Linked DNA regions of Caenorhabditis elegans. The protein of the gene in region 2 purifies or fractionates together with the protein of the main gene of each other region. This does not show direct contact. Each region holds a gene or a part of one and is shown on either strand. Other genes may lie near its edges.

The links.
Region 1: the proteins of unc-45 (region 2) and cap-1 fractionate together in Caenorhabditis elegans (co-fractionation; one large-scale study listed by BioGRID). This does not show direct contact.
Region 3: the proteins of unc-45 (region 2) and Y43F8C.13 fractionate together in Caenorhabditis elegans (co-fractionation; one large-scale study listed by BioGRID). This does not show direct contact.

Annotation. Positions count from the first base shown.
Region 1 is NC_003282.8:7,228,479-7,232,233, forward strand, and holds the start of cap-1 (F-actin-capping protein subunit alpha), read right to left. Parts: upstream 1,746-3,755; 5' UTR 1,745-1,745; coding exon 1,664-1,744; intron 1,552-1,663; coding exon 1,426-1,551; intron 1,372-1,425; coding exon 931-1,371; intron 767-930; coding exon 602-766; intron 261-601; coding exon 225-260; 3' UTR 1-224. Other genes in the region: D2024.4 (DUF19 domain-containing protein), read left to right, coding at 2,770-2,875, 2,934-3,129, 3,429-3,602, 3,650-3,755. UniProt on the Caenorhabditis elegans protein: F-actin-capping proteins bind in a Ca(2+)-independent manner to the fast growing ends of actin filaments (barbed end) thereby blocking the exchange of subunits at these ends.
Region 2 is NC_003281.10:489,626-493,380, reverse strand, and holds the start of unc-45 (UNC-45/Cro1/She4 central domain-containing protein), read right to left. Parts: upstream 1,835-3,755; 5' UTR 1,833-1,834; coding exon 1,744-1,832; intron 1,693-1,743; coding exon 1,565-1,692; intron 1,519-1,564; coding exon 1,392-1,518; intron 975-1,391; exon of another isoform or gene 546-974; intron 1-545.
Region 3 is NC_003283.11:19,695,756-19,699,510, forward strand, and holds the start of Y43F8C.13 (Nucleoside hydrolase), read right to left. Parts: upstream 1,644-3,755; 5' UTR 1,632-1,643; coding exon 1,601-1,631; intron 1,103-1,600; coding exon 742-1,102; intron 1-741. Other genes in the region: ani-3 (Anillin-like protein 3), read left to right, coding at 2,028-2,087, 2,146-2,323, 3,259-3,571.

The DNA.
Region 1 (3,755 bases), on a different chromosome or scaffold from region 2:
GATACATAGATGATACAAATTATCAAATCATGAAAAAAGAAGCAGCGGAGCAAACGAAGGGTATTATGTTGTAAAGCACGTCTAGTGTCCGGCCAAAGGATAAAGGAAAGTGGGAGAAATAAAGGTCGAAATTGGAGGATTTTTTGGTTTTTGGAGAGGATTAGGAAGATGATGAAGACCAGCAGACGAACTTGAAGCAAAGCGATGTGATAACGATTTTGTGATTACTTCATTTCCTGACCAATTCGGTAGGTTTGAGCCTGAATTAAAATTAATTTATTCTTTTTATTTTATCAATTCTGAAAATTTTGACATGCCTTTGTAGAGGCGCACAGATTTATTATGGTAGCCCTTGCTTAATCTTTTTCAAAGAAATTACTTCGCATTTAGAGAATTTTGTCGGCTTCATCTCTTGTTTCTGTTAAAATTCTTTTTAAATTAGTTTTCAAATCACAATTATTTTTTATTGTGTCTGCATGACAAGGGATATAAAACTGATTCGAAGCATTTGTTAACAGAAAAATAAGAAACACCGAGACCCATCTGAATAAATCTGTGCACTTTTCCGAAGGCATTCCGAAATATTGTGAAATTACGATACCTTATTCCAGTCCATCTTAGCGCGAGTAACTGGCAATTGGCGACGAAGTGCTTTGAATGTGGTATCAGACATATTAGCGTAATTCTCTTGTACAGCATTCTGATATATAGTCTCTTCCTCGGAAATGGCATGAATTATTTCTTTGGCGGTTTTGTCGAAGTCAGCCTGAAAATAGGGCTTTATATGCCAATTTTTAATTCGATTAAATAGCTCTATGAAAAATATAATTTAAATGATTCCTGTGATTTTATTTTGTTCTTCACAATTTTATGAAAAACTTTTTTTTCTATCCTTCTAAATTGGATCAATTTATGGAAAAAAAAATTTACCGAAACATTGACTTTAAGAACCGGCTCTTTCTCAGAGAACAACTGCACGTTTCCGTCTTCGTAATAATGAACTTGCGACAAAATTTTTCCTTTCATCTCCTGAGATCCTGATTTACCATCGCCAACCGGCACATTCCACTCCGAACGCCATCTTCCGTTACAGAAATTTTTTGGCTGGAATTGATGAGATTCGATGCAAATCGTGAAAACTCCGTTTCGAGCAAAAACCACTCCCGTTCCACTTTTCGCGTAATGATCATCAATATATATATCGAGTTGAGTTTGAAGAGCTTGACGCCATTGTTCGGTTATTCCAGACTCGGCTGGATGTGGTTGAAGATCTGCGGCCTCTTTACGGACGTGATCGTATTTGAAACTTTTCTTTGAAACTTCATCGTAGAAACGTCCATTACCCAAATCATTGTATGGAGTGATCAGAGTCTGAAGAAAATAATTAAATATTTGAAGAAAGTTTAAAAAATGAAAATAGTATACCTGCTTGGCAACACCATCCAACTTTACTGGCACAAATTGTCCAACGTTATATTGAGCGATAGCATTAACACATTTGTTCTTCAGAAGATCATCATTTTCCAAAAGCATCCGAACCGAATTGAATACCTGAATGGAAAGGTAAATTGACAATTGAAGTGAATTGCGAAATATAAATTTTTTGATGACTATAATATCAAGCTTGAACGAGCAATTCTCCTAAAAATCGACAAAAAATTACCTCGTTGAACTCGCCGGGTGGCGCGTGTTTAATGAAATCCGAAGCAATGCGGACCTTTTCGGCGTCACTGATCTCCGACATTCTGAACGAGAAAGAGTTATGCTTATAAACATTTTAAAAATATATTTCTATCAAATAACTAAAAAGAAATAAAGATTGACAAAATAAAAGTGGTGATTCATTGAATAAAAGAGTGAACAAAAATGAATCACAAACAGAGAAATGAGCGCATCGATTTTAGCCGTAGAGCGCGCTTGCGTTTTCGAGAGACACCACACGGAAAGTGGATAGAGATTACTTGAGATATTTAGTTTGAAATGTTTTTTATTCTTCAGCGAAAAAGAAAGCACACTAAAGCAGTTATAAAAAATGAGTAATAAATAGTCTATAAAATAAAAAGCATTTGAACCATGTTCAGAATTCAATTACATTATTTACACTTAAAATTTGTGAAAAATTCGCTGGAAGAGAGAATATGTACTAGATGTGAGAGCATTTCTAGAGAAGAAAATCTTTGAAATTTGAGAGCATGTCAATGAAAATTTGAAAGAAAATTATGTCGAAAAGCCAAGAATAACCTGTGCTACGAGAAATATTAATTATTTGCGTCTGAAATATAATTCGAGAAACACGAAATTTTGGAAGTGGTACGGTAGATTTCAGTCCAAGAAAAAAAACCGAAATTTGAACATTGCAATCTTTCAATCAATGCGACTTATATAGAAACGTTGTTCATAAAACAAACAATGCATTTTTTTCGGGAATTCCCTTCCTCTGCTTCTTAAACTGCAAAATCAAATTGATGAACCAGAAAACGCTAAGCTTCAAACTTGAAATAATAGTTCAGAATTGATCAATTAAATTGTTTAATCTGAATAAAAAACTTTGGATCTAAAAAATTCCGGTTAAATGTTTTAAAAACGTTGTTCATAATGCAAACAATTCCACTCTTTTTTCGGAAAGTGTTCGCTTCCTCTTCTTCTAATAATAGTCCGGCAACAACGGATTTGCTATATTCTAGTTGTTCGAATAACTAGGTCAAGATGATCACGATCAACTGAAAATGCTATAAAAGAAAATTGTTAGACAATTCAGAATATTCAAAGATGTTATTCAGATTCCTCATACTACTCCTAACTGTTTTAGCACTGGCAACATGCCGAAAAGTTCACATTCAAGTTAGAGAAAATGTCACACAAAGTTGTCCGAATGGTTTGTTCTTTTAAATAAAAATTAAATGGTTTTACAATTAATTTACAACCAAGTTTAGTGGATTCCGATGTTATTGACGAGAGCTCGTTGAAGATCACAATGAAAATGTTGAAGAATGATAATCCAGAGGAAGAAGATGAAGAAAAAGATGAAGTAACAATTACTGATATTAATGGAGAAACTCGCCAAATTGATTTCCCTGGATGCTATAGAGTTAAAGTCAGCTTTAAGATGCTGAGACCTATCGAGAATCCGTAAGTTAGAGCTGAAACTTAAGACTGGAGTTCATTCGTAAAATTGAATCCTGCAAATCTCTTAAAATCGTAATAGATTCCGTATTTTTCCCTATTAAACTTGCACCTCTTTACACCTCTTCGACGGGGGTTTCCCGGGTTTTTTGGTTTCATGAAAAGTGCGAACTGAACACACTTATAACATAGTTTTCTTTACTTTATTAGTGAAAACATTTTTTTTCGATAAACTAAACCGTCAAAGTAAAGCAATGCCGATAACAGTCTAATAGAAAAAAAAAATGGTACATTCTTTCTTCTAGATACATTGAAGCATTTATGCAACTTGGCCAAAACGTTCCCTGCAAATCAGAAGACGCGATTCAAAATCTTCGTGGAGTTGAGAGCATTTGTGCAAACGTAACTAGTCCATCTCAATGGTGTCCAGAGAGTTATAACTCCCAATTGAGAGAGATGCTCGGTGGTAAAACTACATGGTTGGTTTGCAATTTATATAAACTAACAATAGGAATTGGCTTTTCAGTAAATTCTGCTCTCTGTGCGAAAACGTTAAGGAAAACGTAAAAGAAAATGAGAGCAAATTGAACAAGCTTAAAAAATTTTTGAGCAACGAGGGGAAGGAGGAGTGT
Region 2 (3,755 bases):
GGTCTGCTAAATATTTAGCATACCCAACTTTGGTCTGCTAATTATTTAGCATACCCATCTTTGGTCTGCTAAATATTTAGCATATCCATCTTTGGTCTGCTAAATATTTAGCATACCTATCTTTGGTCTGCTAAATATTTTTCTTTGGGTCTGCTAATTATTTAGCATACCCATCTTTGGTCTGCTAAATATTTAGCATATCCATCTTTGGTCTGCTAAATATTTAGCATACCTATCTTTGGTCTGCTAAATATTTTTCCTTGGGTCTGCTAAATGTTTAGCATACCTATCTTTGGTCTGCTAAATATTTTTCCTTGGGTCTGCTAAATATTTAGCATACCCATCTTTGGTCTGCTAAATATTTTTCCTTGGGTCTGCTAAATATTTAGCATACCCAACTTTGGTCTGCTAATTATTTAGCATACCCATCTTTGGTCTGCTAAATATTTAGCATACCCAACTTTGGTCTGCTAAATATTTAGCATACCCAACTTTGGTCTGCTAATTATTTAGCATACCCAACTTTGGTCTGCTAAATATTTTTCTTTGGGTCTGCTAATTATTTAGCATACCCATCTTTGGTCTGCTAATTATTTAGCATACCCATCTTTGGTCTGCTAAATATTTAGCATATCCATCTTTGGTCTGCTAAATATTTAGCATACCTATCTTTGGTCTGCTAAATATTTTTCCTTGGGTCTGCTAAATATTTAGCATACCCACCTTGGGTCTGCTAAATATTTAGCATACCCTTCTTTGGTCTGCTAAATATTTAGCATACCTATCTTTGGTCTGCTAAGTATTTAGCATACCTATCTTTGGTCTGCTAAATATTTTTCCTTGGGTCTGCTAAATATTTAGCATACCCAACCTCCTCAAATTTTGAAAAAAAAATTTTTTCGCTGATTTTTTAGCTGCAAATTTGAAATTTCCTACGTTTTTCTTCAAGATAAATTTTTAAACATGTTTTAGTGGATTTTTCAGTTTCATTTTGCATATTTTTTCACAGAAAAAAGTGAGAAAATTACAAATTTAAAACTAAATATTTAGAAAATTTATAAATGTTGGCATTTTAAACAAAAATTGTGAGTTTCTGTAGATTTTTAAAAGTTATTTTGCTATTTTCGATGAGAAAACCTTGATTTTTGTCAATTTTTCTATTGGCATGCTATATTTCGGAGAGAAACGTCTGAAAATTCTAATAATTTTTAGCTTTAAAAATCAGTTTCGGGAGGTTGGGTCTGCTAAATATTTAGCAGACCCAAAATTTGCAACTTTTGCATTTTTCACTGAAATTTGGTCATAAAAACTTTGAAATATAACTGGAAAGTGCCAGAAAAAATTATTTTTCTTTTAATTTTCATCGGTTTTCGCCTAGTTTTTCCACGCACTTATCATTTGGCGAGAGCCTCAGAGCCTCTTTTGCGTCTTGAAAAGCTGGCCCAACATTTCCAAGCTGTTCACGAGCCAGCGATCGTCTGAAGAGAGCTTTTACATCGGCCCCGTCGAATTCCAGAGCTGTAAATTTAGGTTTTTCAGCAAATTTTCCAGGTTTTTTGTAAACCTTTCGTGCAATCCGATTGTGCTCCTTCAAAATCGTCTCTTTTCAGCCGAGCCATTGCTCGATTTCTGTACAAAACCGGCCGAAGAGCCTTGTCTTCGTCAGTGGTGAGTTGGAGAGCTTCAGTGTATCTGGAAATCAGTTTAATTTCAGTTTTCCACTGAAATTTCAGAAAAACCAACAATTCATCAGCTTTTATATAATCCTGATCCTTAACTGCAGCATTTCCCTCGTCGCGGATCTCCTCCGCAGTCTGTACTCGAGCAACCATTGCTGAAAACCAAAAAAAAAAAACTATAAAATCATTATTTTTGTCAGGAGATACTATTAATTCGACGGATAAAAGAGGAAAAATCGACAAAAATGGTGTAAAACTGATTAAAATATCATTTTTGAAACTAATTTTCAAGAAAAATGCACTTAAAAGCTGTTTTTATTGAGTTTTAGAGTAATTTTCCCGAAAAGTTTCCCGCAAAAAAAAATTAACAAAAAAGGAAAAATGCAAGCGCGCTCCACCGGCACGTGTTAGAGAGTGTGAAGCGCAGACTATTTTTTGGAGGGATTTCAAATTTAATTTTTATGAAAACTTTGATTTTAAAGCTAAAACTAACGAATTTTGGAGATGTATAACATCCTAAAATTGACTTTCTTTTCTTTTTTTTTGAAATAAAAATTTTCACTGCAAGAAAATTTGTTAATGTCCTGGAAAAATGAATGAAGAATAACGGTAAAAAATCCAGTTGCCGCGGGAGCTCCGCCCAGGTGCTCTGGAGCTTTCGAAAAGCTCCCAGGCGGGAGAGATATCCTAGGGAATAGAAGAGAAATAGAGATAACGAGTGGGAAAAGTTCGGGAAAAGTCGAAAATATGTGGGGTTTCTGGAAAAATCCGAATTTATATAGTAAAAAAAATATATTTTTAGGTTTTTTTCAGGGGATTAGAGGATTTCAGAGAAAAAACGGAATTTGAGTGGATTTAAACAAAGGAAATCATCATTTCAGGATAAACTCAATATCCCAAATGGGTCTGCTAAATATTTAGCAGACCAAAGTTGGGTATGCTAAATATTTAGCAGACCAAAGTTGGGTATGCTAAATATTTAGCAGACCAAAGTTGGGTATGATAAATATTTAGCAGACCCATAAAACATCGTTTCAGATTTTCGTCATGAAAATAATTATATGGGCAACCACAAGGAAAATTTTTTCTCAAAAACTACGGCACTCGGATTTCTCAAAAACTACGGCACGAACCGATAAATTTTCTTGAAATCAGAAAAACGTGTGCCTTTAAGGAGTACTGTAGTCGTCAACTCCTTCAAAATTTCTGGTATATTTAAATATATTTTTTCACGTGGAATACTAGAGTTTCTAAATAAATATGTACTGCCGTGAGGCTCTAGTGCTATACCCGGCGGCTATGGGTCGGCTGAAATATTTCTGGAATTTTTGATATTTTTTTTTCGGAAAAAATCAAAATAAAAATTTCATAGTATTTACATTAAAATAAATTATATAAATTCAAAAAAAGGACCTAAAATTCATAAAAAACCTAGAAATTCTTAGGTTTACTAAACCCACTAAACCCGAACTTTATGCAAAAATCGATGAAAAACGAATAGAAACGTCTGTTCAGCGGAAAGGGCAGTGTAGTAGTGTCCGGCCCCCGACGGATAGTGTAAAATTACGGCGGAATCCGCAGATCCTCTCCGGTGGTGGGAGCCCTTGCTGTTTGAATAATCTGTCTGCGTCTCTCTTCAGATCTTATAACTTTTTGTGTGCATGCACTGTGAGCAAATCATGTGAAGATTTCCTATAACTTGAGACTGTCTTGGGGTGGAAAATGGGGGTAAAATAATAATGCACAAAGGGGGTCTCGTAGTACAATTCGAAAGGGAGAAAAGGAGGAAGCAATGAAGGAGGAAGCAATGAAATGAGTCCCGCTTATTTCCTTTCGATGTTCGAAAAAACAAACATAATTCATTAGAAGACCAGCCACTGAACCAGAGCGAACTCCATGAATTTGAATTTCGTGCAAAATTTTTAGAAAAAAGAAATTTCAAATAACTCATATTTGAACTTCTAAATAGAAAAAAAAAATTGTTTAAATATTTTGAAAAAAAAAAATTTAAATTCGAGTTTCCCGCCAAATTTATATGAAAAGTTAAAGTTTGTCTAGATTTTTAGCATATTGTAA
Region 3 (3,755 bases), on a different chromosome or scaffold from region 2:
AATTGAGCAAAAATAGATTAAAATCGAAATTTGACACCCAGAATAGCTCGGCGTAGGCGAAAATGTAGGAGGACTGTATGGATACTGTAGGAGTACCGTAGGACTTTAAAAGGGTAATGTTGAGGTACTATAGGGGTAATGTAGGGGTACTGTAGGAGTACTGTAGGGGTACTGAAGCGGTACTGTAGGGTTTCTGTAGGGGGTCTATTGGGGTAGGGTAGGGAAACTGTCCAGGTACCAGGGATACTGTAGGGGTACTGTAGAAATACTGTAGGTATACAGTTATGGTACCATAGGGCTTTAGTGGAATTAGTGTAGGGTTACTGTAGGGTTACTGTGTGTGTACTGTGGGGGGAACAGTAGGGGTACTGTAACACTATTGTGTGAGTACCTGTTCGGTTACCAGAGGTACTGTAGGGTTATGTAGGGGATCTGTTGGGGTACTGTCGGGGTACTATAGGGTTACTGTAGAGTTGCTGTAGGGATACTGTAGTGTTACTGCAAGGGCACAGTGGGGAACTGTGGGGATACAGTAACACTACTGCGTGAATACTAGAGGGGAACTGTCCGGGGTACCAGGGATAGTGCAGGGGTACTGTGGGGTACTGTAGGGATAGTGCAGGGGTACTGTGGGGTACTGTAGGGATAGTGCAAGGGTACTGTAGGTCGCTGTGGGGGTACTGTAGGGGTACTGTAGGGATGCGGTGGGGGTACAGAAGGGTTACTGTAGCCTCAACTTACACCAAAGTGGCATCCCGATTCTCTCTCAAAATATCGATTAAAGCAAGTGACGCATGCTTCCCCTCCCCCTCAAAATCGGATCTTTCGACTTTCGGGAACTCCTCCGGCTTATCACCGATCCCATCGATCCCGAAAAAATCGGATACGGTATCATCCTTCGGCAGCGACAAAATCGATTTAGCCGCACCCTTGTACACTGGGATATTGCTCCGATCGTTGGCTCGGATGGTTCTTTTGATGTTCGCACAGGCTTGATCTACTGTCACACAGCCGTGGACTGCGGTGAATGCGAGAATTTCGGCTTTTGGGTGCTGCAAGGCTAGGGAGATGGCTCGCACGTCGTCGCTTACACCGTCAGAGTCTGAAAATCGATTAATTTTTGTTTTTAAAGCTTAAAATTTGGTAAACTTTATGTAAAACTTTAAAAATCGATAAAACTCGCTAAGCAAGCGCGCTCCAGTGAACTAGTCCGTTTTCCGACGCTAATTTCAAATTTTCAAGTGTTTTTTGACGAAAATAAGTGGAAAATTTGAAGACTTCTTGTTTTTTTTTAAATTAGAATTCTCGTTTATCATCTGAAAATCCGAAAAAATCGATTATTGAAGCGTCTAGACTCGTTTTTTTAAATCGCCAAGCAATGCAATCACGCTCCAATGACAAACTCAGTTTTCTGGCGGGAAGCTCGAATTTTCCAGTGTTTTAACGAAAATCTTCGGAATTAATACGTTTTCGGTGTATTTGAACGTAGAAAAGTAGAAATTTTAAAAAAGAAAAGAAAAAACTCGAGTTTTAACGAATTTTATAGAATTTTTTACTCAAAAATTGGTTTAAATTTGTTTTTATTCTCCGTTTAACTCACCAATGACCAGCTTAACCTTGTCCACAGTCATGTTGTCTTTTTTCTGAAGAGCGTAATGTTATTAAAGTGAAAAAATTAAACTTAAAATAACTAAATAAATATATGAATTATTTCTCGTCGCAAAAAACGCAACATTTGGGCAAAAATCAATCTGTCACCTGAATAATGCACACAATCTTATCATTTTTTATCAATTCTTATCGCATTTTCTTCGATTATTCTCGCTTTTTCGCCGTAATTCCGCATAAATGCGATAATTCGCGAAAAAACTACGGTTTTTCTTAAAGGCGCATAGCTCAAAACTTCAAATAGGTCTCGCCACGAATTCAGTGATGTGAGGGATTCGATGGAATTTTGAATTTTTAAAATCGATTTTTGCGATTTCTAGACGGTTTTTCGCCGTTTTTTCGGAGATTTTTGACGAAAAATGGAGAATTTCGACGGAAAATCGATGCCGCCAACTCCGGTGCCAATCGGATCAAGTCAGGTAGGGCAAAAATCCGGAAAAATCGATACAATTCACAAAAAATCCGAATTTTTTCCAGTTCTACCGCTGGATGCCGCACCCGATCGTCGATACACCACCGTCAGATGCTACGTGGCGCAAACCGGTGCCACGCGGCCGAATTCGTGATCTCGTCGCCGCGTTCGATCAGTGCTCCGGCATGCTGGAGCAGAAGCCCCCACCTCCGCCCACGCAAAGGGTTGAAAGTCTTGAAAATGGTGCGGAAATCAATCGATAATTGAGAAAATCGATAGGGGAATGCGAAAAAACTGGAAAAAAATGGGGAAAATTGAGAAAAATTGAGGAAAATGAGAAAAAAAAACCATTTCCCCCGGTATTTCTCCTATTCAAATGCAAATTTATAAATTCACATGTATTGTTAATTTATTTGCACTGTCAACACACCAACTATACAGTTTTTACATGGAAAATTGATTTTTTAGAAAAAACAATCGGAAAATCCCAAAAGTTTTGGGAAAAATCCAGAAAAAATGGGATTTTTCGCAAGTTTTCGGATGAAAATTATGGTTTAAATTGAATTTTGAGTGGAAATTTGCAAAATTGGACTTTTTCAGAGAAAATAGTTATAATTTGCAAAAAACTAATTTTTAGAAATTTTTTTTTCCAAAAATTCAAAAAAATTTTTTTTTTCAAAATTTTCATTTTAATTGGCAATTTACCATTGAGTTTCTGGTGAATTTCGAAAATTTTCTCTAAAAAATCCTGAAAAAACGGAAAAACCTCTGGAAAATTCTAAATTTCCAGCAAAACCACCAAAATTGTCGGATTTTGTGTTAAAATTCTGTAATTTTCGGTGGAAAAATCGCTAAAATTTAGAATTTTGTGATTTTAAGCTAATTTTAAGGAATATTGTGAAAAAAATTAAATTTTTTAAGAATTAAAAAAAATTTCAAAAAATTTTTTTTTTTTTCAAAAATTAAAAAAAAATTTTTTTTCGAAATATTCACTTTTTATTGGGAATTTTACGAATTTTGAGCGAATTTTAAAAAAATTCCAAAAAACGATAATTTTTTTGCAAAAAAAATTTTTTTTCGAAAAAAAAATTCAAGTTTTTCCAACTTTTCACATTTTTCTCAAAAATGATCTTCAAAATTCGAAATTTCCCGCCAAAAATAACCCATTTTTCTTCCAGAACACATTGCTCCACCGCCAACTTCAAAATCCTCCAAAATTCCGGAAATTCTCGCCAAAAAATCGGAAAAATACATCTCACCGTACGAAAAACGTCATTTTCATGGTCGTCGTGGCACCCAGGCTGTCGTTTTTAATTCGAATAATGCTCAAAATGCTCCAAATGTGGGCGGAGCCTATCCATATGGAGCCACACCGTTGAAATTGCGAAATTTGGCCCAAAAAATGGATAAAGAGGAGCTCTACGTGGCTGATGACGTTGGAATTTCCAAAAAATCTGAAAATTTCGAAAATTCCGATGATGACGTGGCAAAGTACGAAAATTTGCGGCAAAAATGCTATAAATTCGAAAAAAATTCAAATTTTGTAGCCATTTTTGACATTTTTCCTTTAAAAAAAAATCTAAAATGTCCAAAAAAAAGCCGCGAAATTCAAATTTTTAATTTTTTCCTATAAAAATCGAAAATTTGCAGAAATTTTTGAGGTTTTTGAGACAAT